Arabidopsis thaliana: one gene and its partners. The protein of the gene in region 4 interacts with the protein of the main gene of each other region in a biochemical or structural test. Each region holds a gene or a part of one and is shown on either strand. Other genes may lie near its edges.

Region 1 (7,790 bases), about 21 Mb from region 4:
TCAGTATAGGGCACATGCCCTACCCATGACTAACGTGAGTCCGCCCCTGATAGCGAGTAAGAAACGAGCAAAGGAATGCAAATTATGTGAATACTATACACCAACAGTGTAGACATGTAGCTACAATGCGGCAATGTTAAAAATAAACTCAAATTGGTTTGGAGGGAACAACCTAATGCTTATAAGTACACTTTTGTGGTAAATACAATCCAATTGAAAGTCTTTGTAGGTTTGGTTTGGTCCAATGAAATTGTATGCGAGTTGAGTAAAATAACCTTAGTTCAAAACATTAGATATGTAATGGTCTAGATACGATGGTAGCCAAAGATTTGGGTTAAATTTAGAATAAAGATCAAAGAACAAATGACTGACTTCCTTATGTGTGTTTGTTTATGTAAAGTCTTAACTCGTGTCTTGCCAAATTAATAAAAAGGTGCATTATACAATGAACTAGAGCTTGTTCTCATCAAAAATTTTAACATTAATATAAGTTATTAAAATTTTGTTGATTATATATGATTTCAATATTAAATTATATTTTTTGCTTATAGCATCAAAACTTCTTGGCACAGCTCCGAGTGTTACTGAAATGTTTGTGTGGCTCCAATAGAAAAGTTAATACCAATCATGAATCATCAATATCGTTACAAAATCAGTAATCAGTTTCACCCACTCCGAGTGTTAGTGAAATGTTTGTGTGGCTCCATTAAAAAAGTTAATACCAATCACCAATATCGTTACAAAATTTGTAATCAGTTTCACCCACTTCTTTTCGTCTTGTTACTCGATATAGCCTCACCTTTCAAGTGTCTAATATAACATTTTTTAACAAAATATTACAAAACAAGAAAAATTATAGTAATTAGATTAATCATATGTAATCTATTACATATAGTAATTTGTATTAGTATCGTTTATTGTGTTACCATTCAAACGGTATAATCTATATAATTATTAGCAAAACAAAATATAGTTTTAGTAATTAATAAAATTAATATAATGATAGTGATATTCAGAATGTGGTATCTAATCATGTAAAAATATATAATAATAAAATTAGATAAAGAAGAAATTGGTAAAAAATAATTAATGAGATATAAAAGGAAAACAAGCTGATACAAGCATTTCACCAAAAAAAAAACAAGCTGATACAAGCAAAAAAGAATTAGTAACTTTGAGCTATTGCCATATGTGTGGACATTTAAGATTTCTTGTATTTTAGAAATCTTATATATTTCCACAATATATTTACTACTTTCCTTTATTATTTGTGTTAATCTCCCGAACATTATTATTTCAATACTATCTGAAAAACACATTTTTTTTTATAAAATTTGATGACGTAGGCGAGTGGTTCTTTGTTTTTACTATGTAGGCACGACTTTGGTAACACCTACTAATTAACTGCCAAATTTTAAGTTTTGAGAAGTCGGAAGAGTTCAAACCAGTTTTAGGTTTCGATATGTCTACATAGTTCAAAGATGATGTAGAGTGGAGGTTCTTTCTGCAATAGTTCAATCCGTATCGTAGGGGAGGAAAGATAGTTTTCATTTAGCAACGAAAGTGAAAACTAAGGCAATGCAAAAGTAGCAAAGACGCTCGTCATGCGGTACACGTGGCAATCTTGTCTTCAAAACACAACGTTTTTATTCACATATTTGGTTTTTTTGCATCACTCTCGTTTACCCCCAAAAAAAAAAAAATATCTGGCCCGACGAAGAAAAAGTAGATAGGCACAAAAAATAGAAAGAAATAAAGCGAGAAAAGGAAAAAAAAAAATAGAAAGAGAAAACGCTTAGTATCTCCGGCGACTTGAACCCAAACCTGAGGATCAAATTAGGGCACAAAGCCCTCTCGGAGAGAAGCCATGGGAAGAAAAAAACTAGAAATCAAGCGAATTGAGAACAAAAGTAGCCGACAAGTCACCTTCTCCAAACGTCGCAACGGTCTCATCGAGAAAGCTCGTCAGCTTTCTGTTCTCTGTGACGCATCCGTCGCTCTTCTCGTCGTCTCCGCCTCCGGCAAGCTCTACAGCTTCTCCTCCGGCGATAAGTACGCCTTTTCCTTACCTGGGTTTTCATTTGTTCCCCCTTTTATCTTCTGTTTTGTGCTCTTTTACTTTTCTGAGAAAATAAAAATAAAAAAACAATTAATATACCGTTTGGTTTTTTTCCGGCGGATCTCTTGTTGTTTCTCGGTTCTGTGTTTGTTTGTGTTTTTTTCTGCGACCATGATAGATACATGAGATAACCAAATTTAAGGAAGAACAATGTCGTGAAGAAGCTTTTTAGCTTCTTACTTTTGTTCATTTCTCTCTCTATTTCTTAAAAAAAAAAATTCTGCATGGATTTCATTATTTCCTTGGAAAAAAATTGCATGTCATTCACGATTTGTTTGATACGATCTGATGCGTGCTCGATGTTGTTGAGTGAAGTTTCAAGCCATCTTTGATTGTTTCTTACCTTTAGAGATTCCTTAAGTTTTTGAAGAGTTAATTATATATCACAAGACTAATGATTAATGTCTCTTTTCAGAGTGATTAAAATTCATTGGATCTCTCGGATTTGTATGCAATGCACTTACGGGAGATCTATAGAGTTGCTATGGGGTTAATGCTGAACAATGTATATATACCACATTGTGCAGCTATTGACTATATAAGACTATTGTTAATCTTCTATGAATTCCTATCTTTGCTGTGGACCTATTACTTGGTGATTATCCAAATTAGTGTTTTTAATTGATTCATATTTTTCATACACAGTAGTTTTGAATTTTGGTAGCTTCAAAAAACTCAGCCTCACAATTAGTACTTACCGCACATATGCTACTTCAGTAACATAATCTGGTTATCGATTGCGATTCTTTGAATCACAATCGTCGTGTGCTATATATATAACACCTTTTGCTGTACATAAACTGGTCTAATTTTAGACTAATTAAATTTCATTGTTCTCTTGGATTTGTATATGCACGTCCGGGAGATTTATAAATAAAATTAGTATGAGGTTAATGGTAAAAAGGATCAAGAAGTTTGGTTTTAAATGTAAGCCACATTAATTGGGAAACTATGACTAAAAGATGAATTGGTAATATATACATAATATTTTTAACGAATTTCTCTCCTTTTTATGGGATATGCTATTTAAAGATTGTCCAAAGGTTTATAGTTTCCCACTCTTGCAGTTACACACATAGATTTGCCTCATATTTATGTGATTGTATATCAATTATCGCCCTTAATCTTATCATCGTTGTGTTCATTTATGACTTTGTTCCTATTCGTTAAAATTGACAATCCACAACCTCAATCTTTTGTTGTGAAAATCGACAATCACACAACCTTTGTATCTTGTGTCTTTTGTCACACAACCTTTGTATCTTGTGTCTTTTGTCATGGAAATTGTCATTCACACAGCCTTGTTTCTTTGGTGCCTCTAGGAAATTGAAAATCCCACAACACTTGTCTTCATGTAAGAAATACCAACCTCTTTGGTACGGATCTATAATGAATCAATATAATCCTATATATAAGTTGTCAAAATTGAATCTGGTGTAGTGTCTACTACAACCCTCCAATATAATAACCAAATGGTTGTAGTAGTTTGGCCATGTTGGTCAAGATCGCTGGCCGATTCTCACTTGATGCATACTTTGTTAGGATTTGTTCACCCCTAGTTAGGTCCAGCCTTGGAATTGTCGAGACACCTGACTAGAACTCCTGGTCTTAATTATGATTTAATAAAGAAGAAGCCTTTTAGAACGTGGAACCCTTAGTTACTCAGTTACTCTTTTTGCATACTTAGGTTGATGCAAAGAGCTTAACTTCACAATAGGACTGATATCTATTAACAAAACAAATTAAGTGAAGTTTTGTCAAAATTGTTGGATCTTCTAGGTCAATATGTAGTTTAGTTTTTATCTGTCTTAGTCGCTTCCTTCTATGGAAGATATATTTATAGATATGTGTGATAAGTTTCCTACTAATATTAGTTAGTGTAACTTCAAGGGCAGAAAACTCTTTACTTTTATTGCTTGATTAATTTGGGGTTTAAATATAGGAAATTGGAACCTCACAGTTTCTATAAACGAGTAAGTAATTGAATGTGAAATAACAAAATGGAAGACCGGCTTCCTATTCTTAGGAGTCTTTTGATATTTGCAAAAAAAACATATACAATAGAAATATGAGTTTTGTCTAAGACTCGGTCCATGTATTTGGAGTTTGGCTTCCTCATACTTATGGTTATCTGGTTACCGCCACATCATCATTATCATCTTATGGGTCATCAATACTAGCTCTATCGCTGGAAAAAACCTTGTCCTCAAGGTTCATTGAAAAATCCGAAAAGTTTTCTCGTATATGTTGATATGGTATTACTTACAAACAAAGAGCTGATGTTACCAATTTTGACACGAGATTACTAATGAACTCATGAAAGAGGCGTTTTTAAAAAATTCTTTTTAAAACTGGGATACAAAAAGAAAAGAGGTAACTAATAATTTGATACCATTGTTCGTAGTCCTGATCAAATGTTATAAGGGTAAACATGATAGAAAATAGAGGGTAAATAGGTTTTGTTCTTATAATGGTTTTGATAACACGCTTTGTAAAGGATATAGGTGTTTTTTGATGCTAAAAGTTGTGGTATGGATCAAAACCAAAATGGAAGCTCTGAATCTCTGATAGAGGTTGCAATTAGAATTATATAAGTTAATTTGCAAATGAATTGGAAGCAGTCTTCCACTATTTGCTATTGTTAGGGAAGTCTTTCAGTTAATTTCAGAAAATTAAGAGAAATATGACTTTCTAGACTCAGTCTGTGTACTTGGAATTTTACTTCGGTTTACTTCCATGTCATCACATTGTGGCTCATCAATATATGTGTGTATATACATTCATGAGTATATATGATTTCTGGAAAAATAAAAATTGCTTGTTTGCATTTAAGATTGGGGCTGCGTTTACATTTTATATTGCATCAATTATTTCAACATAGATTCACAAACATAAATGCATAGAAACAATCTGGACAGTAGAGGCTTATGTTTAGGGTTCTTATGTACCTTAACTAGTTTGACTTTAAGTTAATCAAAGCCAGCGCTATCACTAAACTTTATCTGTATGCCTTTGTATGACTTTTCTTTGAGGGAAAATGTCATTTTCAATCTGCCGAAATATATAATAAATACATGTTAGCCCACATAATTCATTGGATAACTAATCTTTGAGCAATTTTTGGTAAATGTTTTGGTTCTTTTCTTTTCTTGAGAGAGAAAAAAAATATCAGATATTATTAAATATTGCTTACAAAGCTAAGAACAAGTTAAAACTTTTTTGAAAAAGTGGAAATTCAGATGTGCTACTGCTTAAACATGAATATTAAGATTATTGTTTTTCTGAAATGTTACGAATACTAGCGTGTTATATATATGTAAAAGGTAAGGTGTTCTCTCAATGTTTCATAGTTTCCAGTGGCCTTTTCAAGGGTTAGCTAGTAGTTTTGATCCTAACATATTTTTATTTTTTTTGTCATCTCTCCAGCCTGGTCAAGATCCTTGATCGATATGGGAAACAGCATGCTGATGATCTTAAAGCCTTGGTAATACAAACATTTTGAATCTTTTCCCTGATGGAGTTTTATAAGGCGTAAATTTACTATTAGTTTGCCGAGTGATCCTAAATATAAAATGAGGTGGTGGCTCCACATGCATTATGCATACCGCAATTTTCATAGCCCTTGTCTTTTACCGCTTCTTCTGTCCCTTTTTCATGGGCAGGATCATCAGTCAAAAGCTCTGAACTATGGTTCACACTATGAGCTACTTGAACTTGTGGATAGGTTAGTACTACTAACTAAGACTATATTTGCTCTCCACCTTTGATTACAAAGGAATTAGTTTTTTTTTTGTCAAACTATGAATATATGCAGCAAGCTTGTGGGATCAAATGTCAAAAATGTGAGTATCGATGCTCTTGTTCAACTGGAGGAACACCTTGAGACTGCCCTCTCCGTGACTAGAGCCAAGAAGGTAAGTTGATTTCGTAATGTCTACTCCTTTCTGAATTTTGTTTGCTGAGAACAACCGTGCTGCTTTTGTTTGTTGCAGACCGAACTCATGTTGAAGCTTGTTGAGAATCTTAAAGAAAAGGTCAGATATTTGCTACCAATTTTATTGTACATCAGATATATCCTCTTCTGTGTTGTCTCTGTTACTTTAAGTCTGCTTAACGAGCTTGCACACATATTTGCAACTTTCTTCATATGTTTTGGATTCCAAATTCTGAAGTTGTTAGGTTTAGAAACTTGATCGGTAATTGCTGAACATTTTGATCTTTAAATCAGGAGAAAATGCTGAAAGAAGAGAACCAGGTTTTGGCTAGCCAGGTAACGAAAGCTACATTTCCTAAAAATATATATGCATAACTAATAAGCACTGCGTGTTGTGTGTCCAATGTCCATGTACATGGACATAGATACACACTCTTATGCTTGCAGATATATATATATATATATATAGTCAGTGCATTTCAATCATTCACTAGTTAGCACTTTCCTGTCTTGTATAGTTGTATTCTAGACAATTCTTCTCAAGATTAGGGCATTTTGGTTGTTGGTAGTTTGGTTTATTAGGGTTAGTGAGATTATTACTGAATAAGAACAGAATTTTGATAACGGCTGGTTAGAGTTAAGGGAAATCAGATGAAGTTATTTTTTTATTTTTTATCGAGTATAAATTACATGATTGCTATATCATTTTACTAAATTAAGAAAAAAAAATTCCGGTTGTTGGACATAACTAGGTTTTGGTTCTTCTTCTTCGTTTTTTTCATGTTAAAGTGTTTAATTAGGTTTTGGTTCATTTGGAGATTTATGAACCTTTTATAGTCTGGTTAAGTCTGGGTTTGGTAGAGATTCAATAAGATTTCTTGATTCTCTTTCAGGTTATGGTCTGGTTCAGTCTAGTTTAGTTCAATATTGGTTTCCTTGAAGGTTGTGTAAACGTTGTCTATATTTAAGTTAATCACCTTTTAACCAAAAAAAAAAGTTTATGGACCGATTAGTTTTTTTTTTTTTGTTTTTTTTGTTATGGTTAGGTTTGGATCCGAGTGGCTCAGTTCCAACTCCAAGTGTCTAGAAGTAGTGCTACTTTTACATGCTATATATAGGTTAGATTATAAATTATAAACTGGTAAAAGATTATAGATACTGCTTCCAAACTTAAAAGCTTAAACATAAAGAACACACAAATTATGAGAAACATAACCTTCTGTAGTGTTTTTTAATGGTTGTTATTTGGTGGTGTGAAAAAGATATTCCTTGGATAGAAGACAAAAAGAGAAAGTGAATAGTGATTTTGACCTATGATTATCGTACAGATGGAGAATAATCATCATGTGGGAGCAGAAGCTGAGATGGAGATGTCACCTGCTGGACAAATCTCCGACAATCTTCCGGTGACTCTCCCACTACTTAATTAGCCACCTTAAATCGGCGGTTGAAATCAAAATCCAAAACATATATAATTATGAAGAAAAAAAAAATAAGATATGTAATTATTCCGCTGATAAGGGCGAGCGTTTGTATATCTTAATACTCTCTCTTTGGCCAAGAGACTTTGTGTGTGATACTTAAGTAGACGGAACTAAGTCAATACTATCTGTTTTAAGACAAAAGGTTGATGAACTTTGTACCTTATTCGTGTGAGAATTGCATCGAGATCTTGAGTGTATGTGTTCTTCACTTCTGTCAAAAACTTGTGTTTGCTTCACAGTGAAGAAGCCTACG
Region 2 (4,287 bases), on a different chromosome or scaffold from region 4:
ATGACATATCTTCACAAGTTCGGTGGTTTCTTAGACTTGTATCATTTTCTGATGATTTTATTAGAAGCGTCAATCATCTTTTGACGATTTTATAGGATACTCGTTTTGGAAAATCATTGTTCTGATGATAGAATAGATCAGGAATCATCTGCTGATGATGATATCATAGGAAAGATTATAATAGTTCACACATTTCATATCTGAAGTGTCATCACTTGTAGACGATTTTGGCTTGTTGTTGACTTTCAATAATTGAGTTGTATATAAGTATTGAATGTTTGGTTTTATTGCTTTGTAACTGTTGACATACGGTGTTTGCCTATCTCTTTCTGCACACTTGATTTCGTAGCTAAATTCCAAGTTCTGTTAAATATTCCAAGCTTTCTATCTCAATCATTGACAAAAAATGTTCCAAGTAGCAAACAATTTACTAACAAGCACTAATACTACTTCAAAAGTCTAAAATCAGTGGAGTATAAATTTTAGAGGAGTAAGATTTTGACTTTCAAGTGTTAAGCGTAGTTTCAAGTTAGAAATATATGTATTTCTAGATTCACAACTAAGATTCGTTACTCTATGGAATGAAGACTTCATATTTCACTTAGTAGAATTTGGACAACACTCATGAACGACCAGAGAACATAATTATGTATTATATAGAAGCAACACCAACTGAATCAGTACCAAGAATATTAACAGTTAAATAGAGAAAGAAGAGTTTTTTTTCGAAAATAAATAGATTCCAGTGTCTTAAGGTGCCAAAATGAGGAGTTTTCAATCACCCAATGACATCTAAACATAATGACACAAGACGAGAAAATATTCAGAGCTTGTCATCAGTTTTGGTGCGTTCTCTTTTTTGAGGTTTTAGACAAGAGCAGGATACTGCTTGGACTGCAGCTTCACCCTTTTCTTGTACTCAACTGGATCCTGCACAATAATCATCAACAATCACTCGACTTAGTTCCTTCCTATGTTTCAAAACCTAATATTGTGTTTAGAGTTTTCATTTCTAAATGTACCTGACAGAAGAGATGATAACCATCTGTCTGTGCAGGGTCAGCGGGATTCGGTGTGTCAAGTAAATCCTGAATACCAACAAGAATCTGCTTCACGGTGATGGCTGGTCTCCATCCCTATGGATATACACATAACAAAAGAGAGCTTGAGGATAAAGCTGGCTTTTGCTCATGGAGAAATGCAAAGAAAGAAACAGTAGAGTACTTACATAATCCTCGTTAAGGATAGAGAGACAGACAGTTCCAGATGGATAGACATTAGGGTGGAAAAACCCTTGTGGAAATTTACATTTCGGAGGTTTGCTCGGATAATCCTCACTGAAGTGCATCGTTAATGGAAAGAATCCACCTTCCCAATCAGTCTGCAGCAGAGAAACATGTAAAATTAGCTATAAACAACAGTAAAGATTGATATTAGCAATTGCTCTTGCAGTAACACTCTTATTAGCCATGTCAAAGTAAGATACACAGCAGAGTTCAGTTTCAATGTCGTATTCAAGACCAAAATCATATGCACCAATAAAAAAACATCATACAAGATAAACAAGGAGATAGATACACAGCTACTCTTCCCACTAACATTCATATTAGATAATCTTCCACGGCTCTATGTGTAAGCAAATATGAGAGAATCATCAAACAGAATCACAAAGAAAAAGAAGGGAAGAGACTGGTGAAGCTTAAAACTTTGAAGAACTAAGAATCAGAAGATGATAAAAACAAAGACTTTAGCCCAAATCAATAAACCCTAATTTCAATCTCTTTTTTGTTGCTACTAATACAAACCAGAAGAAAACAAGCAGAGGAATAAGAAAACTGAAGAAACCTAATTTCACGATTGATACTTACCCCAGCTTTACCAGGTATAGTGCAATGCCACACCATTAGATTCACAGTTCCATCCTGCCCCGTCTCCGGCTTTGCCACAAAACCCTAAATTTCACCATCAACAAGAAGAAACCCAATCAGTAATCAGAGACCATGAACAATCAACAGAAACCCAAAACCCATAAATCAAAATCACGAATTTGGAGAAATAGAAGACACGAAATCACTTACATGAGGATGATTCTTCCTCCACGATTTCCTCTCTTCAGCTAAACGACCACGAGCGATTCCACTAGCCATATCTCTCTCTCTCTCTCTCTTTAGAATCTCACTCTACAATATCTAAATCTCTCTCTTCTGATTTGTCTCGCTCGCTCTCCAATCTCTATCTCTCTATATATAAACTCGAAGAAGACACAAATAGGAGATTGGGGGAAGATGGAATGTGAAGTTACAGATGTACCCCTATGTTAAAGCTTTAGAAGGGTAATCGGAGTATCGTACGGTCCAGATTTCGCGGCGAATAAATGTCCTTTCGTCCTACTTCCTCCACTTTAATGGTTATTGACCGGTCAATTATTAAATTTTAACCAGGTATAATTATTATCTACTATATCATAAAATAAATGAAAAGACGTAATGAAAAAGTCAATGGATAAATGTGGCGTGAAACCTACGCGATGATACCCAAAAAAGCTACCAAAAGATTCTTTCTCTGCCATAACGTATCATCCCATTTGTCACGTGGCCCATTACCATATCTGGGCCCATTTACTTTGTGTTCTTAACTCTTAAGCTTGCTTTAATTATTCCCCTCTTCTTCTTAATGGTTGGTCTTTCTAGAATAAAAGTATCTCACCTGGCAAACATTTGTCAAACAGAATGGTCGGAAAAAAAATAAAATATCAAAGCTTTCAATGAATTTTTGTGTAAGAATGTTATTTAGCGAACATATATTCCCAATATGATAGTTTTTTTGGTTATAACCAACTTTGGATGTATTAGAAAAATGGTTTTTTCTTGAAACTTGTATTTGACCATTAGACCAAACTGTGACAACCTCTAATCTCAACAGCAACCAACCCAATGGCACCAAACTCCTAAAGCTCCAGTGATAAAACACAAAAACCAGAGAGGCATAGATTATGACTTACTAACCAGTGACAAGAACATCAAAACCACACAAGATACTTCTTTACTACTTTCAAACAAAAGTCTTAATAATGTTAAAAGACAGACGGATACATCATCACCATCACCAAGAAAAGAGTCATCATGACATTTTTAACAATGAACAAACTAAAAAGAGTCATCATGATATTTTTAACAAGAACAAACTACAAGTCTTATAGAAGTTTTCTTCGGTATTGGAAGCAGTTTTTGCAGGTCAGAGCATGCAATCAGTTCTTGCAGGAAGCCTTCTGAAGAAATTGAGAGGAACGGATGGTAGTTTGTATCTGAACCTCGGATGTCTCAGAGCATAGATTCCAATACAAAGAGCCACAACCTGGAAAGGTGTCACATAGAGAATGACTGCGGCAATCAAGCAGAACAAGACGAAGAGCGCTGTTGCACGCGGATCACGCCAGCTTAGCAGAGACTGAAGCCTTTCTCCTTGAGTTGCTAGATCACCTACCACTGTCTGAATCCTACCAGCAATACTCCTCAACCTGTCATACCTCATCCTGACTATGTCAGATGGTCGGGAAGTAGGAAAAGTGTCGAACTCTTCATCTAGCTCGTCGGGGTGGGCTGAGTCAGCGTGAGAGAGACGTGTGTCCATGTGAGGAGGATGCCTCGGTCTCCAACGGTAGTACCAGATACCGATGAGGAAGAGGTAGAGGAAGATGGTGGGCAAGATTAGTTCGGGATAGAGCACAAGGATGATGAACAAGAGATGGATCAAGACTGTTGTGATTGGATTCTTCCAGTTGCAGATTTGTTCAAACCATTTTCCTACTGCGATTAACCCACTCAAAACTCCCATAATCCTGAAAAAGTTTGCTTTGCTTCTCCGCATACTCCACATGTGAGAACCCACATCAAGCATATACTCAACTACTTCTTTCCTTAGAGGTGGTTCTGCTCGGGTCAGCCTCATCGATACAATCTGAGTCGCTTGATGCCTCAAGTTATCAAGCTGGCTAACCGTCAGTGGATGGATATAATGCATCTTCGGTAAGAGAGGCTGTGAGTACATATACATCATGTTGAGCAATGAAGAGCAAGTGAATCTCACAGCTAAGTGAATTTCTCCCATTTTCTTGACTCCGTTAGGATGGAGCACCAAAAGAGGGTATGAATGTGTATAAACTCGATCAGTCTCGAGAGTAGAAAGCCTGATTCTTACCTTCCCGATTCTTGAATCTTTTGCTCCTCCAATCTTCTCACCTCCATGGAGATGGCAGTTATCAAAAACTCCAACAGTAACAACGGTGCA
Region 3 (4,568 bases), on a different chromosome or scaffold from region 4:
GAAGAAGCAATGGAGGCGTTCACAACCGCTCTTGACATAGATCCGATGCACGTCCCAAGCTTAACATCGAAGGCTGAGATACTGCTGGAGGTCGGTAACCGATCAGGCATAGCGGTTGTTAGAAGCTTTCTAATGGAGGCTCTTAGGATTGATAGGCTGAACCACTCGGCTTGGTACAATCTTGGAAAGATGTTCAAAGCTGAAGGGTCCGTCTCGTCGATGCAAGAAGCCGTTGAGTGTTTTCAAGCCGCCGTTACTTTGGAGGAAACAATGCCAGTGGAGCCATTCAGATGATTTTGCCCTCTCAAATCATATTTTTTTTGTCTTTGGTTATGATTTCTCCTTTTCTGATTCTTTTTTTTTGTGTTTGTTTTTGATAGATGAATATAAGAAGATATAAAGATGTATGTGTACGAGTATATCATTTGATGTCAAGTTTATAAACATTTTGTAATACACAGTTAAACAAAAATTAATATAGGTTTTGGTGAGGTAAATTTTATAAGCCAGGTTTACTATTTACTCATAAAAGATTATAAATTTTTCGGAGAAAACTTTTCAGGTTTGATATTCTAAAAAAGATTAACATAAGAAATCTGTAGCTGTAAAACTAATGATGAGTTAAGCATTTAGATTACACTGAATGATGAAGATTCTCCCAAACTAACTTTTTATTTTTGTTTTGTTTCTTCCTTGGGGATCTGTTGTTTGTCTACACAGCTGAGTTGAGAGTCTTCCATCAGAAAAATAGTTAAACAGTAAAGAGAGAAGTCCTGAAGAACCTCAAGATAAGAGCTCGTTCTCTCTATCACTGTTAACTCTGAAACTCCGAGATTATCCAGCAAAAGACCAATACTTTCAATTATCGATTTTGGGACGCTTTGGCTGTGGAGATTCTAGTTCCTCACATTTCCTGGTTTCTTCTTCTGGAACCTCCTTCGAATCAGCAGTCTTCTTGTCTTCTTGTTCAGATTTGGCTGCGGAATCTGATGTTGAGGCTGTCCCTTTGGTAAGACCAGAGTTTTGCTTCTCGAACATCATTTGCAGGTACTTGCCTTGTTCTTCTATTCGGAGTTGCAGGTTTCTTTGAATCTGCAGGCAAAGGAAAAGAACACATGTCATACCCAAATTCAGAATACTTTATAAACAGGTTTCACATTTTCTCTTTAGCAGCTACAATCCAAACACATAAGTATAAAAAACCAAAGCTAATGGCAATGCCTTTATGAACATACCTCGAGCTGCTCATGGAGTTGCTTCTGTACTTCCATCTGAAGTCGTAGAGCCTCTGTAATACCTATCCCACTGCAGTATAAATATGTATGAGGTAAGAATCAGTTAAAAATGGTGTAGCGTGTAGCATTGTGATGTTAACCGACAAGAAAACCTTACCCTTTCAAATCAAGAGATGTTATATGTTCAAGCGGTGTCAACTTCCTTTCTGGCGAACCTGTAGTGATCAAAGAAACTTTAGTTTTTACATTGAATTCTTCAGGTAAAATCATCAACGAAGATGGGAATGAGTTCGGTATTTACCAGTTTCTGATGGTTCTGGCCGATATCTAGCTGTCCTATATTTCTGAAAAACACAATCTAATATTAGAAGACAATTATATGCATTAGCAGGGAACTAAAGAATAGTAAGAACCTGTAAATGGCTTTTAACATGATATATAGTCAAGCCTTCAACTTTCATAATCTTCAGTACCCCTTTAGGAGTAGCTCCTGAGTAAAATATAAAGAAAAAGTTATTATCTTTCCATATACAATTCAAAGTTTATGGAAAGCAAAGAGAAATAAATGCTCACTTTCACTACCGCCAAGACTGTTGACAGCCTCAACAAAAGCCTCGTGAAGCTCTGGCGTCCAACGCATTCGTGCCTTGCCCGTTCCGTTATTGCTGTTTGAAGATGTTGTGCTAACAGGTCGCAATTCCACAGACGGAGAAGGTTGCTGCTGAACAATCTGAGGTTGCGGAATTTGCAGTGTCTTCTGGTCCTAAAAAAGTGTGTCCAGTATTGAACAACTTGAGAATACAGATATCAAATAGAAACAAAGTAAAAACTTGGAACAAGAAACTATAACAACCTTTGAATCTGAATTGGAATTTGTTTCAAGCAAGAGATCATTCCAGTTAGTAGACATCAAAGGATCATCATCAGTGATCAAATGGTCAGCCCATTCATGCCAATCACTTCGTTTTTGAATGTCATCAAAAGCAGCCGCAATGCCACCATCCTCAATCTGACAGTTGTTTTGAATCGCCGGGTTGGTTTCATGGAAGTCAAGAAACCCTCCTGGCAATGAATCATGACACCAAGCACTATCGTTGTTGCTTGGTGTCTGCACAGCATTATTACTGCTGCTTCCTGTGTAGTGTTGTTGTTTCTCATGAGATACCATAGTTGAGTAATGGAGATTGGTTGCAAAACCAGATGATGAAGAAGAACATATATGTCCAACAGCTCCACCGTTACTAGATGAAAGTAAATGGTAGGTTTGTCCTAATGGTCTAGACATTAACTGACTGTTGTTATCTGATCTCATGAAACTATCTTCTACTGGTGAAGGTTTTTGTGTAGATGGGATTGAAGAAGTGCGTGTGAGGTCTCTCGAACCTGATCTATGAACTGGACGAGCCTCCATTGTTGTCCTGCAAGAGAGAATCATTATCCAACCAAACATCAACTTCGCTGGAAAAACAAAACCAAATCGAATCCGAACTATGCTCGAAAGATATAAATTCTCTGTCTCTATCTCTCTGTGGATTACCAAAAGGCAAAGGAGAAGGATCGAAAATTCTCACCTAGAAATTCATGAAGCAATCCAGGACCAAGGAAGACGAATCGAATCGGAGAAAATGATTATGAGGATTCTCCTCTTGGGGATAATCGGAGAATCGTCTTGTCCGCAAGAGAAAAGTTGACGGTGGTGATGATTTTCTTCGCCTTCTTGTTAATTTCGGAGGTGGTGGCTGTCTTAAACAAAGGGATCAGCCGTCGTTTTTTTCACGCTCGGTGAAACAGCGCGTGAGTATGACTCGCTTGTCGGGATCTACGTGGACGTTGTTTATTGGATAATTGGGATCGTGTATTGGGCTTGATCTTTTTCGTTTTTATTTATTAAATTTTTTCTGGTGTCTATATTTTCTGCTCTTTCACTCTCTTAAAAGGCTATATAAAGGCCCAAAGTGGCTTTTTGATTCATAGTTTTACAAAATTCACACCTCCAATTTACTGTTTTGTTGTGTCCATAATTTAGCGTATCTGCCAGATTTCCCCAACAACACTTCGTGTGTCCCTTTTTCCACCACTTTTCCTTTCTCCATTACTAATATCTCATCACATTGCATTGCAGTGGTCAGTCTATGTGCAATGAAAATGCAAGTCCTGTTACTCGCTAGCGACCTCAGCGTTTTCATTATCTCTGCCTCGGTTTTACTGTCGAGTGCACTTGTTGCTTCGTCACACAATAGGATTGCTGGTGATTTCAGAAATGCACGAGCAAGTGCCACCCTCTGTTTCTCTCCACCACTCAGCATCAGCCCTCTTTCTCCCACCGCGGTCGAATATTTATCAGGGAATTTCATGATCGTATCGTGAATCGCTGCTCGTCGAGCTGCATTGTACACCTCTTCCTCTGTTGCTGAAAGGTTTCCATAGTGAATGTTGTGAAATATAGTGTCGTTAAAGAGCACCTGCCATGTGAATTAAGGTTAATGATACGAATATTTATGATTGGTATATATGCCTGATAATGATATTAAATTTGTATATGGAAGTTACTTTGAAGTCATGCAATTTGTAGAAAAGTGACATGTTACATTTTAAACTACCAAAACGTATGAAAAAGGCCATGATATTAAAATAAAGATTTTAGTTACAATTAAGAAGCATTTTGCAGTGTCAATATCATTTCCTTCATGATTTATGTAGTAAACGTGATTGTAATACAAAAGAGTATACAGTACTAATAATCAAACCCCAATCTGTAACCATATGCTAACATACTAAAAACCGGTTTAGACTCATAACAACAAAATGTAAGAGCTAGCAAAATTTATAGTGAAAATGGCAACTTACAGTATCTTGAGGGACAACTCCAATGGAGCTTCTAAGACTCTCTAGTCTCACTTCCTTTATATCCTGACCATCAATTTTTACATTTCCGGAATCTACATCAAAGAACCTGAATATCATTCTAAGAATAGTCGATTTTCCGCTTCCGCTACTACCGACAATCGCCACACTTTTCCCTGCCGGTACCTCAAATGAAATCCCATCTAAAATCTTTCTCTCCGGTAGATAACTAAAATGTACATTCTCAAAACTAATGCTTCCACCTTTCAGAACAAGAGGAGGGAGCTTCCTGTCTATATCTTTATCTCCGATATCAGATCTCTCCTCTAGAAACTTAAACATCGATTTCATGTCGACAAGTCCCTGAACGGTGTCGCTGTAAACAACCCCGAGAAAGTAAAGAGGAAGAGACAGTTGAAAGAGGAGACCATTCACCATCACCAAATCACCAACTGTCATCTGACCATTCATAATCCCCTGAGAACACAA
Region 4 (7,711 bases):
CTCCGGTGTCTTGTCTGATGATCCTGTTCATTGTTCTGTGCATAGCGTTAAGAATCAAAAGGAACACCGAATCATCCCAAGAGAGACACAACAGAACAGACAAATCAGGAAGAATATTACTCAGAATCCGAGTCAATGGAGAGGTACATCCGAGGTCTTACAGAACGCTTCTGGCGAGGAAATGAAAATGGATTATCTGATCTTTGCTTCTTTGCCTTGTCTTGTCTACTGTCATTCATACCCAGAAGCAACGACGCTGCAAATACGCAGTAATAGTCAGTAAGTATACCACATGGACTATGGACATATATAAAGTAGCATATTCAAAGACAAAATACGCCACATAGAAACTAAAACAGATATTTCTTCTTCAGTTGTTTATAAGACCTAGCTAGCAGCTTAGTAAAGTGATGAAAAAGGTAATGCAACATCAAGAACATGGTCCACATTTTTAGGTCCCTTTGATGTTTTCAGGAAAGCATTAGTCTCAGACAGGGAACAAACCAGTCTCTGTTGTAGTATCCATAGAACCTTCCCTCGTAGACATCTGATGGCTTGAGTTAATCCCGTTTGTAGTTGCAGGATCTCCATGATTCCCAGAGGCGCTATCGCCTAGCCTAAGCGAGATCCAGTCTTCACTACGGAGACCATTTGACATATCAGCTTGGTTTTTAAAACCCGACTGAGCTGAAGCATCTGGTTTTGTTGGCAAAAATATTTGAAGTGAGGGATCGTCTCTACCAAATGCAAGAGGATTGTCAACTAGGCCATCGTTTGCTTCAGATCGGCCAGTAGAGCCAGGAACCACAGGAACAGATGCCATTGATGTCTCAGGAGCCATGGTATAACCTCCATTTATTTCAGGAGAACAGTTTAGTGGACTATGATGATGCAAACCAACTAAACCTCCTGAAACGTCAGCATCAGATCTAAATAGTTGGAACCCAGGGGCTTCTGGAGTTTCAGAAGGAAATGACCAAAGGGGCGTATCAAATTCATCATCATCATTGAAAAGACCTAAGCCTGAACTTCCCCCAGCTATGCTGTGTGGGTCCTCATTATATGAGTTAATTATTCCAGGAGGGTTCAGTGGAAAAGTAAGTCCACCATCTGTTTGACAACCACTGTATGCAGGCCCTGGAGTGATCACTAAATCATTCTCGTCATCAGAATCACTCAGAACGATGACTTCATTATTTCCACCCTCGCCAGATTGGTTTCTGTCAGGAAAGTTATAACCTGAATCAACATTCATGGAAATGGAATCAAGTTCCATGCCGTTGGCTACAAAGTCAAAAGTTCCAATAGCATCCTGGTTTACGCTTGCATCATCACCATCCCTACCACTTCCAGTAGCACTACTACTCATTGGTATAATATTCTTCTCCTGATACCCAACCTTTTCTTGCCTATTACTGGAAGATAATCCATTTGTATTAGGTTTGCTAACTTCCCAAATGCCATTACGATTCTTCCTTATTCCAAGTTTTAGCGGGGCTGGACCATCTGAGTAACCTTCTTGCTTAACCGGTAACATTTCCATCTTCCGTTTAATATCAACAGCAGAGGGGCAAAGGCTACCATCAGGTGCATGCCACTGTGAGAGTTCCCCCAGTTCCCTTCGCTCACTCTCTCTTTTGAACTTTACACGCCAAGAACCATCAGGTTTCACTTCAATTTCAGTCACCTCTTCATCACAATGCTTCATCTGTCGTGCAGGAAGACAACTACTGAATAAAAGCGTAGATACAAAGATTTTAAGAATTCTTGAATTCCCATAAGAATACATACCTTAGACGTGATACGGTTAAAATAAGGATCGACGATTACATGCTCCACTGAGTAGTTCTTCAGACAAATAGGGCACTGCCACTGCATGTTAACAAACCCCAGAACAACTAAAGTCAGAAAACAAGAGACATAACCCAATATCTAGACAAGGATAGTAGACCTACCTTTCTGGAACGTTGATTCAACTCCACAAACACATCAAGGTCAAAACAGCCCATGTGCACACAGGGTAAAAATCTCCCAGCAACTTTTATCCTAGAACCGCTCATCTAATGACGCAAACAGAAAAGACAATAAAAAAAATTCAGTCTGCAAGATAGCCCTAGGAAGAGGATAAGTATAAAAACTGGGCTACGAGCTATTAGTAACTTACAGGACACCGAAGATTGACACCGAAGAAATCAGCAACAACTTCAATGTCACTATCACTGTCGGCATTATCATCTCCACCTCCACCTCCAATGCATCGGCGGACACGTGCAAGAGCATCTTCAAAAGTCTCCCCTTTACCCTCTTCTGGAATCAAATTTAGAACCTAGATGCAAAAATGAGTATATATATAAGCAACTTGGAGATCATTAGATCATTAACGTACAATATGAATTCCTCTGTATACAAGAACACCAACAAAAGTGATAAATATATTGATTAAAGGGATAAATGTTGCAGCACAAGGACAGACTACACTTCCGTAACCAAATCTCATACAAGGCCAGGCTCAGTGGCTCATATACGTGAAATATAGGAAGAAGAATAGGACTGTGAAATTTGAAATCTGACTAACTTTTCTAGATTTAGTGGGAGTGGGAAATAACATGGGAATAGTTTAACGTAAGTGTGTAACCACAGGTAACTTCCACAAAATTACTTTCTTGGGTACGCCAACATAATTTATTCTTTCTTTTTGTATTCAGAATATTAATTTCGTTCCTTTTTGAACATTTATGTTTGGACTCTTCATTGACCACATATACGACCAAATCTTTGAATGTTTCTTATGCATATATGTTATCAGTACCTGTTGTAGAGTCCTGCGCTTCACAAGTCTGACCCCAAAACAAAAAATCCGAACGTCACCTCCACTCAAGGATATTCTGTTAACTCCATCCCTAATACAAGATGTAATCTGCCAAAATAGTAAAATGAAATGGTTAAAACTTACATCACTGATTGCTAGATTTTCAATGTATGAGAGATTGACTCCTATATGTAATTCAAAAGGGTTACTACTCAAAAGGGATGATAAAAAACACACAATGGGTCCATCGTCGCGGCCGTTGACTCCCAAAAGCTGTCCTCCAGGTCGATTAATTGCACGTACAGGCACACCTATGAAATGATAGGGTATATATCATGAATCCCACATCAGAAACATACACAGTCTTATTGAGTATGATCAGAATAACAGACAAATAAAGACAATGTGAATGTGAATGGAATGTGCCCACAGGAATTTATGCAACATGAAATAAAACAACATTCCCCTGTTTCAAAGGAAATGCTCAACCGACTAAAACTCTGGTCGATGTCATTGTCATACCATTGACCTGCAGATCAGCATACTGAGGCCACTGCATCCTAAAGAGAACTTTATCATTCAAGAGCATACACCAAGCCTAAACAAAATTGATTTCCAGTTAGAAACGTATAGGTAGATACACCTTGACATATTAAATGTAGTTTACAAAACCCAACCTGAACATCGTACTCTGGTTTGGCCAAAAGGTCCTTGTCTGCCCTTGTGATTTGAAATGTTCTCTCCACACTCTGCATTGTGCTTGCACTGAAAAGTTTTGGATCGGAGTATTAGTACAAACAAAAGCCAGTAACAGTATTTCTTCAGCAGGTGCTATGCATATAGCCAGGAAACAATTGTCATTCTTGAAACTAGAATGAATGTCTTATACCAGTTCCAAGTAGAAAATTTAAAGTCAAAGTGACTTATAAAGTACCAATTCACACAATAATGGCACTGAAAGTACACTCGTTCAAAGCAATAGCAATATCAAGAATATAAAATTCTTACCCATCATTTGGGATAGTCGTTGCAGTCAGCCTCACTGGAGAGAGTGGATGTGCCACTGTAACCCAAAATCTGAACAAGGAAACCATGTAGGAAAACCGTGAATAATCATGCTATAGGATATCCACAGGTGCTAATGTAAAGATAGGAAATAATATATAAAAGAAAATTGACAACTATGAAAACAGTACTAGAAGAAGAAGAACAATCAAACGCAAAGAAACTAGAATGCAAAGCATGTCAAATGTATAAATATGTCTTTCTTTTCAGTTATGGCAGGAAAGAATCATAAAGCAGTGAGGGAGGAACTCAGATGGAAAATCAATCACATATCAAACTTAAACTCAGACAGGAAAAGTAAAATCCTTGAAACACATACGGGTCAGCTCGAGTAAGTCGGCAGATTTCACAATAAAATGATTCCGGAAGTGGTGGATTCCCATCCATAGGCTTATCTGGGAGAATAACACAGCCAACATGCTGCCAAACATGGCATCTTGGATCCTCACACTGAAATCGGAAGAAAAAAAACAAAAATTACAGCCAGAAAGTATCACCAAACTTCACAAATGTAATCAATGATAAATACATCACACCATCGACCATAAAATACAAAGAAATTGTCTACAGTCAGCTCAAACAGGAATAAACGCAGTGAGTTCATCCCAGATTACCTGTATCATTGAGTCTGTTTCTAGCGAGTTTCCACAAACACATCGAACTTTAATTTCTGGTTGGAAGGGGTCTTCAGGCTCTCCCTTAACTTTCAGATTACTGGTATCTGAACTCACTTGTCCTTTTGATGCTAAATCACTTGCCCCAGATACTTGCATTTTCCTATGGAACACAATATAAAATTAATGGTAACAAAGAACCGCCACAAAAAGCATGGCATCTCCTAAGAAATCTATTGAAAGAAACGAGCACTCACCTATATGTATCGTCCACTAATTTGGCAACTGCTTCCTTTGCCACTGTATTCTTTTTAGACAACAACCTGGCAGCTGTCAGTAGGGAATGAAAACGGAAGCTTATTAGAAGAAGATGGCAGAGCTAGCAGTGACTCTTAATACACCAAAACGTGAATAAACAAAAGCAAGTGGTTCATATAACCTTGTTCATCAGAAAGAAGGGTCAAGATCCGGTCGACAAGTTCCTGCACAAGAAAATTTCAAAAAGAAGTTAAATTTTTTGGTGAAAGAATAAAACAGATAACACTCTTTGCAAGGTAATGTCTTAGATTTATCTTGGAAACTGCTATATAGCTCAAGACAGCAATAATTATCACCCAAAACATCATCTTCTCTACTATAATCATTCCAAAACAATCACAAACATAATCACGACCAATGGAAGATTAGAGAACGATACTAACCTGCTTCTTTCCCTGTTTCGAAAGTCCCAGCTGAGTGAGCACATCCTTGAGCTCTTTTATCCGAAAATATGAAAGTTTTTCCTGCAACCCACAACAAAAACACAACGTTAAGCTTAACTAGAGCAAGACTAAATTCAATAACAGCAACCACGAACCATAATCCAAAACCCTTATGAGATAAAGGATCGTTTTTTACTCCCAGCAATACAATCTAGATCATAAACAAAACGGAAAAGCAAAGCTTTTTTGAAACATCCACTCTATATACCAATCAACACATTCATAACAAGTTCAAATCAACAAAAATTATAAACCAACAAGCATCCATAGATCTTTCAGACAATAATACCTTACAATTAGCTTCCAAATCCATGTCTTCAACACCAGACACAAACAAGAACCAAAAGCTCAGTTCAAAACACACGAACCTAAACTCCAGCAATTAGTCTCCATACAGCAACCGATCTAAATTAACAGAAAAAAAAGAAGGAGTTACTGAAACGAAAACCCTTGAAATTCCAAAAGACAAGACCTTTAAAGACTATTAAACGGAAAATACAAACCATGAAATCGGATACTTGATCAAACCCTATCGAAATTGATAGGTTAATGAGAGAATTGAGATGATTAGAAACTAGGGTTTTCACAGCTACGATAAGATTTTCTTTGGCCAAGGAAGAGGAAAATAAAAAGACAACCAAACCCAGACGAAGAAAAATCGATCCGCCGAGACGAAAACAAAACAAGGGTTGCCGGACGAGTCGCCGATTATCAAATCCGGTTTAATTTTCGCGCAATACGTCCGGGTTTAGTTCCTGTGTGGTCACGTGCACGGTCGTCCCCCCCACCAATATTGACGTGTTTTTGACTTTCGGTTCTCACACCACTTATTTACGACCGTAACGGAGTCTTTGTTATTTTAATCGAATATTCCCCACGTTTTATGACATCAGCCGTTCGATCAGACCGGACCGGTTTGTTATATTTTAACCTCAATTTGTTTATTTGCCGGTTTATAGTATATATCAAATCAATTTGGAAGTTTATCATCCGAAAACATGGTTTTCCATATGTCTCTCATGGCATATGTAGATATTGTATTATTTGATTCTAATTCTTCTAAGTAAGAATTTGGAAACATATTTCATGTCTCTTTTCTTCATTTGTTTTCATTGAATTGACATAGAATGTACATTGAATTGACATTTCTCACCCTCGCTAAATTCATTGAGAATTGTGGCTCAATTCTTCCATATGTGCATTATAGTTAAACTACGAATAAAGGATACAAGTGAGCAAAACCCTACTTTCAAGTTTCAACTAGTAAATCTATCGAATGGATTGCTAGACCGGATAATTCATACTCATTACGGGATGGTTCGTAAAACATGTGGGAAATTATCTTATATATCCACCAAATATTTGAGGTCTCGTAAGCATGTGATCTTGCAAATTGATACGTGGACCAAATTAGATATTGGACACATTTATATGTTCTTTCTATATGTAAAAAGCTTCATTCCGTGTGGAGTTCATTTGTTACAAGAAATGAGATATTATAGATATCAAATAGCATGAAGCTCTTTCTTCAACACTATTTCTACATACAAAAAAAAACATTATATACCAATTAGTGGTGGACTTCTGGTGATAAGATTTGGCTTTTTATCTTTTTGGATGCTGTGTTTTGAACAATGACTTGTCGAGTTTGAACCAAATTTGGTGTTAACCCGAGATATTAAAAAAAGGTTTAATTAGACCTATAGATTTTCCTTGTTCTGCTTAATGAAGATTCTAGAGTAGTCGTGAGCTGGTCTCATTGACTTGATATTTTTTTTGCTTCTAATGGAATGAGATATCTTGAGTTCATGATGTGGATAGTTTTCAAAGATTTGTCAACCTTTTCGTCTTAACATTTTTATATGTCCCTTGTCAAAGGCAAAGAAACATATCGAAAGTAAAAGAAAAGACATTTTTTTCTTGTGGGTGAGAATCAAACCAAACTTGTGAGAATTCTGCAAACGTACACAACTCTTAAATTGATAAAGCTTTTCTTGAAACTTTCAGGCTGAGGATGTGCTGCTAATCATGTGAGCTCCTTGCTGAGCTAACATTCAAAAGACCAAAACATATTTGAGCAAATAGCAAGAACCTATCTTGGAACAGATTATCATTTTAGGTAAGAGAAGACGATCTAGAGGCTCAAACCAAGGTCCTCTACGGAGCAGTTTCATTGTTTTTATGGTGTTACTATGTAAGTAGAAAGAGAATAGTTTATGAATATTAAGATGCATCTTTGTTAGAGGGTGATTATTGAACAACTGAAATACCTTGATCTCTCCGTATTAAGATGCATATATAAGGATTGCTACGTAGGAGAGATACCGTCACCACTAGTTAACTTCTTAGAAGAGGTGATGGCGCTATCTCTCCTGCGAAGCAAATCTTTATTTGCAGTTTTAAAACCATAGAAGAAGCAAGACCACTTGTATGTGTAATCACTCTATTAGTATCACCTCATC

The links.
Region 1: the proteins of SIZ1 (region 4) and FLC form a complex in vitro, tested with the Arabidopsis thaliana proteins (one study listed by BioGRID).
Region 2: of the proteins of SIZ1 (region 4) and SCE1, one has a biochemical effect on the other in vitro, tested with the Arabidopsis thaliana proteins (one study listed by BioGRID).
Region 3: of the proteins of SIZ1 (region 4) and PHR1, one has a biochemical effect on the other in vitro, tested with the Arabidopsis thaliana proteins (one study listed by BioGRID).

What each region holds. Positions count from the first base shown.
Region 1 is NC_003076.8:3,173,417-3,181,206, reverse strand, and holds the start of FLC (K-box region and MADS-box transcription factor family protein), read left to right. Parts: upstream 1-1,758; 5' UTR 1,759-1,867; coding exon 1,868-2,052; exon of another isoform or gene 2,053-2,123; intron 2,124-2,158; exon of another isoform or gene 2,159-2,222; intron 2,223-2,310; exon of another isoform or gene 2,311-2,323; intron 2,324-5,545; coding exon 5,546-5,603; intron 5,604-5,781; coding exon 5,782-5,843; intron 5,844-5,933; coding exon 5,934-6,033; intron 6,034-6,111; coding exon 6,112-6,153; intron 6,154-6,347; coding exon 6,348-6,389; intron 6,390-7,099; coding exon of another isoform or gene 7,100-7,171; intron 7,172-7,209; exon of another isoform or gene 7,210-7,315; coding exon of another isoform or gene 7,316-7,330; exon of another isoform or gene 7,331-7,381; coding exon 7,382-7,483; 3' UTR 7,484-7,790. UniProt on the Arabidopsis thaliana protein: Putative transcription factor that seems to play a central role in the regulation of flowering time in the late-flowering phenotype by interacting with 'FRIGIDA', the autonomous and the vernalization flowering pathways.
Region 2 is NC_003074.8:21,427,964-21,432,250, forward strand, and holds SCE1 (sumo conjugation enzyme 1), read right to left. Parts: upstream 2,436-4,287; 5' UTR 2,148-2,435; coding exon 2,079-2,147; intron 1,953-2,078; coding exon 1,869-1,952; intron 1,382-1,868; coding exon 1,229-1,381; intron 1,137-1,228; coding exon 1,023-1,136; intron 931-1,022; coding exon 868-930; 3' UTR 533-867; downstream 1-532. Other genes in the region: AT3G57880 (Calcium-dependent lipid-binding (CaLB domain) plant phosphoribosyltransferase family protein), read right to left, coding at 3,235-4,287. UniProt on the Arabidopsis thaliana protein: SUMO-conjugating enzyme that accepts the SUMO proteins from the E1 SUMO-activating heterodimer SAE1/SAE2 and catalyzes its covalent attachment to other proteins with the E3 SUMO ligases SIZ1 and MMS21.
Region 3 is NC_003075.7:14,132,306-14,136,873, forward strand, and holds PHR1 (phosphate starvation response 1), read right to left. Parts: upstream 2,988-4,568; 5' UTR 2,807-2,987; intron 2,654-2,806; 5' UTR 2,647-2,653; coding exon 2,089-2,646; intron 1,999-2,088; coding exon 1,809-1,998; intron 1,726-1,808; coding exon 1,649-1,725; intron 1,580-1,648; coding exon 1,537-1,579; intron 1,451-1,536; coding exon 1,393-1,450; intron 1,306-1,392; coding exon 1,236-1,305; intron 1,093-1,235; coding exon 859-1,092; 3' UTR 506-858; downstream 1-505. Other genes in the region: NPGR2 (no pollen germination related 2), read left to right, coding at 1-294; ABCB24 (ABC transporter of the mitochondrion 2), read right to left, coding at 3,221-3,697, 4,083-4,568. UniProt on the Arabidopsis thaliana protein: Transcription factor involved in phosphate starvation signaling. Binds as a dimer to P1BS, an imperfect palindromic sequence 5'-GNATATNC-3', to promote the expression of inorganic phosphate (Pi) starvation-responsive genes.
Region 4 is NC_003076.8:24,293,077-24,300,787, reverse strand, and holds the start of SIZ1 (DNA-binding protein with MIZ/SP-RING zinc finger, PHD-finger and SAP domain-containing protein), read right to left. Parts: upstream 6,028-7,711; 5' UTR 5,753-6,027; intron 5,655-5,752; 5' UTR 5,563-5,654; coding exon 5,539-5,562; intron 5,271-5,538; coding exon 5,190-5,270; intron 4,971-5,189; coding exon 4,928-4,970; intron 4,819-4,927; coding exon 4,746-4,818; intron 4,652-4,745; coding exon 4,489-4,651; intron 4,325-4,488; coding exon 4,194-4,324; intron 3,887-4,193; coding exon 3,818-3,886; intron 3,575-3,817; coding exon 3,487-3,574; intron 3,408-3,486; coding exon 3,332-3,407; intron 3,121-3,331; coding exon 3,047-3,120; intron 2,918-3,046; coding exon 2,810-2,917; intron 2,327-2,809; coding exon 2,165-2,326; intron 2,061-2,164; coding exon 1,956-2,060; intron 1,873-1,955; coding exon 1,792-1,872; intron 1,709-1,791; coding exon 505-1,708; coding exon of another isoform or gene 488-504; exon of another isoform or gene 257-487; coding exon 121-256; coding exon of another isoform or gene 117-120; exon of another isoform or gene 36-116; coding exon 1-35. UniProt on the Arabidopsis thaliana protein: E3 SUMO protein ligase involved in regulation processes. Mediates SUMO/ attachment to PHR1, a MYB transcriptional activator controlling the phosphate deficiency responses.